Regions from separate parts of the Mus musculus genome. Here region 2 is reported to be linked to region 1. Evidence: microRNA targets listed by miRTarBase, many of them from high-throughput screens and not tested one by one. Region 1 holds a microRNA gene; the other region holds the end of a gene's coding sequence.
What was found. Region 1 holds the annotated microRNA mmu-miR-185-5p (UGGAGAGAAAGGCAGUUCCUGA, at 868-889, opposite strand). A microRNA usually pairs through its seed, bases 2 to 8, with sites in the 3' UTR of a target mRNA and lowers its output. Matches are read on the target gene's strand: a 7mer-m8 pairs with bases 2 to 8, a 7mer-A1 pairs with bases 2 to 7 and ends in A, and an 8mer does both.

Region 1 (3,152 bases):
AGCCACACTGTGGGGTGAAGAACCCTAAAATTCAGTGACCTTGGCAATTAATTAAGATTGACATGCATATCACAGACTAGCCATTCTAGAAAAAGAAAAGCAGTCAGGAAAACAGCTATGGGATAGAAAAAGCAAGAGAGAAAACCAGGGGTCAAAGCACAAAAAGGAATCTTTACAAAGTTCTTTGAAAAATGACAGCCGCCGGTCATTTTTCAAATGTGGTGGCACTCGCCTTTAATCCCAGCACTTGGGAGGCAGAGGCAGTTTCTGAGTTCGAGGCCAGCCTGGTTTACAGAGTGAGTTCCAGGACAGCCAGGGCTACACAGAGAAACCCTGTCTTGAAAAAAAACAACAACAAAAAATGACCGCCATAGGGCCCACGAAGGCCAACAGCATTATGGGGTGTGTGTGTGTGTGTGACAGAACAATGATAAATTCAAGACCGGACTGGACACAGCTAATGAGACAGGCAGTGCAAAGAACTGTCTTTATGGGAGGTATTGGACCTACATGCCCCTCCTATCAGCTGCTGGTGTCAGGAAGAGGCTTTGGCTCTTAGACTCCTTTGGTCCTCCCTAGGCTGTACTGGGTAGGACCTCTGGCAGAGGCAGCTATCAGCAGACATAGCCAGATCAAGGGTGTTTCTCTAGTTCAGCTGCAGGACCTGCCATCCTAGCTGGCCCTAGCAGACCAGCCCTCTAGGTTGGAGATGTGAGGAGGGCTCCAAGGTCCACAGGAAGGCCATCGATGTGTCTCCAGGCAGCCTGGAGTTGGAGGTGCTGCCAGAGCTCAGGGTTGCAGCATCGATGAAGACGCAGTCATTGGGAGAGAAGGACCAGAGGAAAGCCAGCCCCTGGGAGGGGACCATCAGGAACTGCCTTTCTCTCCAATCCCTCACCCCCCACTCAAGCCAGGCCCGCTGCCCCACAGTCCCTCTGCCGTCTCTGGCCAGCAAATTACTCCTCATACCTTTTTCCTGATATACCTCTCCCGTAACAGATCCTGCCTTTACCTAAGCCCAGATGTTTTCCCAGGAAGCGGCTGGCAAGCCCCTGTGAATGCCAGGCATCTCCAACCGGCACCCGAGGGTCTGATGCTCTTTTCGGGACTTGGTGAGGTCCCTTCTGCTATGCCACTTCTTTAGCCCCTTTCTTGCTCCTGTTCACCTGTGGGCTGAGAGCAAACCCTAGCCATTCCCTAGCCTTCTGATCGCACACTGCAGAGAAAGTAGGTACGTGATAGTCAAAACTACCTCACAGGGTTCACACCCCTGAACTCACTAGATACTTCCCATGCTCTCTGGACCAGCAGGGCCCATGGGACCACAACAGAGCGCTCGTACCACAGGGGGTCCTTAAAGGCCATAAGGCTGTGTCCGAGGGCCATGTCCTGGGGAGAGATGTGCCTGGATTTCTTCATGATAATTCTACCTCGCTATTCCTGGGCTTATTATTAGCTAGTGGGTTTTCAGTAGAATTTCTGTTCTTGGCAGTCCAAAAAAAGCCCGAGTGACCAGGGTCATAAAAACTGTAGAATTGCTTGAGGTCAGATTAGTCAGTTACAATGGTGAGAGATTAAAAAAATAAAACTCCCTGGAAGAGCTGGAGAAATAAGTCAGCAATTAAGAGCACTGGCTGAGTCGGGCGTGGCGCACGCCTTTAATCGTAGCACTTGGGAGGCAGAGGCAGGCGGATTTCTGAGTTTGAGGCCAGCCTGGTCTACAGAGTGAGTTCCAGGACAGCCAGGCCCACACAGAGAAACCCTGTCTCAAAAAACAAAACAAAACAAAACAAAAAACAAACAATAACAAAAAAAGGGCACTGGCTGCTCTTCAGAGGGCCTGGGTTCATTTCCCTGCATGCACAAGGTGGCTCACAACCATCTGTATCTCCAATTTCAGGGAGTCCAATGCCTTTTCCGGGCTCCCTGGTCCACTGCACACATGTGGTACATGGACATACACTCAGGAAAAACACCCATATACATAACAATAAAATGGAAAACAAAACCAAAAACCCTCTGGGCATTTGTAGAAAGGGAGGAGGGTGACAGCCTGCTAAGCACAGGGCCTCAGTCCTGGGGGTTCCTCGGAAAGCAGTGAGCAAAGGCTGAGACCATGATAGTAGATTCCAGCCTGGGGACTGGGACCCATGCCAAAAGGTTCTTGAGGTTACAAGTGCAGAAAGAGCCCAGAGCACCCACATCTCACACCCACCTGTCACTGGACAGAGGGCTCACACTATGTCCTTGGCCTCTATAAAAAAAGTCAAGCACCCCATTTCCACCAATACAAGTACACCTCTCTGCTCAGTGGGCTCACTGGCAGCCAAGGTGTGTACAGTGCAGGCTCAGTGCAGGAGACCTGGGCTACCTACAGCCTACATACTCTAATAGTCTCTTTGGAATGTCCTGCTTGTGGAAAGAGTCCTCACTAACACAAAGCCTTGGGCAATGCCAGATAGGCTCTGTTACTATGACTTGTGATGGTGGCCTTGGGACATGTAGTTATCAGCTGGATATTACAAAAAGTCAGCCACATGGTACAGAAATCTGCCAATTCCATATAATCAAGTTCTAGTAAAATAAAACCATGGATACCCAGCTTAGCAAGTTTTCCAGCTGGCAAATTCCATCTGTGTTGTTCACATACCGCTGCTGAGAATTGAGCAGGGGCACGCAGCTCCATTGAGAAATGGCAAATAGGAACCTGTGCCTAGTCTTGCTTAGATTCTGTGCTTTGTCCTTTTTCTACTGTTGATTTTAATCGATACCCATCCCTTGTAATAAACTGTACTAAGACTACAACTCTGATCTGATAGGGATCAGTTGAATGAAGATGGTTTTGAGGTTTCTTCAACAAAACTGTGGCCCTACAAGAAGTCACCACACAGTGACTCAGAGAGGGGAGCACCCTGGTGTAAGGCCATGCAGTGGCCCCTGCTTCCTGATGACACCCTAGCCCTTTCACTCCCTTCCATATCTGTGAGCTGCTATATTCACCACATTCCTCAGAGCAGCGGGGGCCCTAGGGCCCATCAACCGGCCACTTCGGCTACTTCCACAGCCCAGGCCACTGAACCCAGGTGGTCCAAAGAGACCACCGACCCCTTTGCTCTACGAGGACATCCCACAGGCCCAGAAAACTCTGCTGT
Region 2 (3,000 bases), not on the chromosome of region 1:
ACACTGTCTTTGACTCTTAGGAAGCAGGATTCTGTTCATAGTACTTGCCTGCTTAGCACCCACTCACCAGCATGAAACAAGAATGCCTCCTTTGCATATTTTATTTCAGAATAATGAACCAGGAGTCTTAGACCTCCTGGCTTGCTTGCTTTCTCTTCTCTGTTTTTTTTTTTTTTTCTTACCATGGGCTGAGAAATATGTTTTTGTTTTCTTTTCAAGGGAAGCTGAAAGTGAGCCTTCATTCTCTCTGAACATCTTTTTCCAAAGCCATTTACCTTTATCTGGGTCCCCAAAAAGACACTAATTCACAAGACAGTCCACTAACGAGCTTCCCTCTTTGTCTCCCTCTGTCTCTGTGTTCTGCAGTTAATAGCCAAGATACCAACTATCACGGCAGTCTGCAACTTGCATGGGGAGAAGCTGCAGGTATTTAAGCAGTCTCATCCAGACATAGTGAATACACTGTTTCCTCCATTGTACAAGGAGCTCTTTAATCCTGACTGTGCTGCGGTCTGCAAATGAAGGGGACGAGAACTCTCAGAGTCATGGAATGCATCGCCGTTAAGACAAAAGCAATGTGTTCATGGGGACTTAAGGAAAATGTCACTACTGCAACATTAGGAATGTCCTGCACTTAATAGAAATATTTTTCACCGCTACAGTTTGAAGAATGTAAATATGCACCTGAGTGGGGCTCTTTTGTTTGTTCGTTTGTTGTTTGTTTGTTTTTGAAATGATCATAAATATACAAATATAGGACACTGGGTGTTATCTTTTTTAATTTTATTCGGGTATGTTTTGGAGACAACTGTTTATAGAATTTTATTGTAGATATATACACAAACAGAGCCGTACTTTCCATGATTACTCTTCCCGTTGATTGATTGTTCGACTCTAATTTAAGACGATTCCACTTACTAGGCTTTACCTATTTCTATGTTTTTAGGTAGTTGATGCATGTGCAAATTCGTAACTAACTGTCTTGGAAAGTACTGTGCATGTATGTAATGAGTATATAATATGTAAGAGTATTATATATGACTATTACGTATTCATGCACTGTGGCTTAAAATACCATGCCCACTAGCAATGGAGGTTCAGTCAGGCTTTCATGTGATTTGCTGTTGTTATATGTTACTTTTATGTTAGACAATCAGGGTTTTCATTTCCAGCCAGAGTTTTTATCCATCCATAACAACATGATAGGACCCATGCAAAAGGAAATCTACAAAAGAATCGGGGTAACACATAATTGTTCTTTTAAAAGCTCCATTTCTATCAATTACTTCAAAGCCCCATCAAGATGGCACATACCGGGAAGAGGGGAAGCCAAAAGGATTTGAAGCCACTTTCCTGTTTTATAGACCAGATAATGATATTGTCTATTTATTACCATATTACAAAATATTGAGGTTCCTCCACATTGGATTTGGAATCCAATTCTGAATGAAACTTCACTTTGGTGGTTATAATTTCTTCAAGACAACAAAAAATTCAGTCTATAGATTATCACCACCATCAACGTTTTTAGAAATATTTGACTAGAAGTATAAAACAAGTTCCTTGTACCCATTTTGTGTAGATATTTTCTAACCATTTTCCCAACAAAAAAAGAGAAATAGAGCATACAAAGTTAAGAAGTAAATTCACTAAATTATACTCATGGTAATTTGTTAGAAATGAGAAAATAGGCGGGAGCCTGTTTTTTCAACTTCAAAATGCTATATTATAAAATATAGAAAAAATTCAGATTAGAAAACAGTAAATCTTTTGTCTATGGGACTAATATATCCCAATGCCAAAATTCTATCCTACACAGTTATAAATGACATCCTCTATTCAAACTGGTTATTTTTTAGCCACTAAAATGTATAGAATGGAACGGCAACCTATACAGGTTCTTCACCTACTTTCCTACAAAATTAAGCACCAGAAAGGCATGAGTTAGAAGCTATTTGTTCTCTCTGTTCCTGGAAGGCCTAGGTCTTTAGTATGAACTAGTCTAAGCCACACACACGCACGAACATGCACACAGATGACACAGCCACCCACAGACACACACACATACACACACACACACACACACACACACACACACACACCGCTTTGTAGAAACTTGGGTCTTTTGGTTTGGGTTTCTGGGTTTGTTTGTTTGTTTTTTCTTTTCTTTTCTTTTCTTTTCTTTTCTTTTCTTTTCTTTTTTTTTTTTTTTTTTTTTTTTTTTTTTTTTTTTTTTTTTTTTTTGAGTCATTTTTAGTCCCTTATGCTCTCTCAAAGTTCTGGATTGAGAGTCATCTTCAGGATGCCTCAGAACTCCAGTGGATGATCAGAGCACAGTAGTGTTAGTCTTGCCTTTCAGAAAACAGGGGCCTTTCTCACCTCATGATTGATGAATTCCAAGCCATTGGGGGAAAACAAAAAGACTTTAAAATAATGAATCTCTTTTTCAACCACTGTTATATTCAATTAATTTAACTACATTGAACCAAATTACCTTTGGTTCTGAGAAGACAGCTGTAGACTGCTTATTATGCTGCTACAGGGACTCAGTTCTTTTTGGTGTAAATGTCACTCCTGCTAGCTCTTTGTATAAAGAATTAATTCCAAGAGTCATATTTCCTTCTAATGGAAAGATTACTTTACTGATTGCTAGGAAAACAGGGTAATGGAAGGCACTCAATTAAACCAAGCCGTTTCCAAATGCGATATATGTTTTATGATTGGCTTGTGATAGGAAATGCTTACTGTGTCTACTTGATGTTCCCCTTTGAGCTTTGAACTCATGTCAAACTTTGTTTTCATTGTTCTGTTGGCCCAGTGTTTCCCATTGTCAGCCTGAAGATCCCACTGGGCTGCAAAGGGGAATCATTTGTTGTCTTCAGTTTACCTTGGAGGATTTACATCAGCTCAATTGATGAAGTAGCTAAGAATTTTTTTCCTCCCTTGCCCCATGGGTGGTGTAGGAAAGAGATTGTTCCCCACATTTGCCTCAGGAGATAC

Region 2: the mRNA of Rorb is a reported target of mmu-miR-185-5p. The part of its 3' UTR that is shown has no 7-base or 8-base seed match.

The regions. Positions count from the first base shown.
Region 1 is chr16:18,326,571-18,329,722 of GRCm38, forward strand. It overlaps Mir185 (microRNA 185), which reads right to left and starts at 895; the gene lies at 831-895. The region is part of intron 1 of Tango2 (transport and golgi organization 2); the gene reads right to left.
Region 2 is chr19:18,935,402-18,938,401 of GRCm38, reverse strand. It overlaps Rorb (RAR-related orphan receptor beta), which reads left to right. Exons shown (of 10, transcript NM_001043354.2): 10 at 367-3,000. The coding sequence ends at 522. Among named protein-coding and RNA genes, the nearest start is that of Rorb, 170 kb to the left of the region's middle.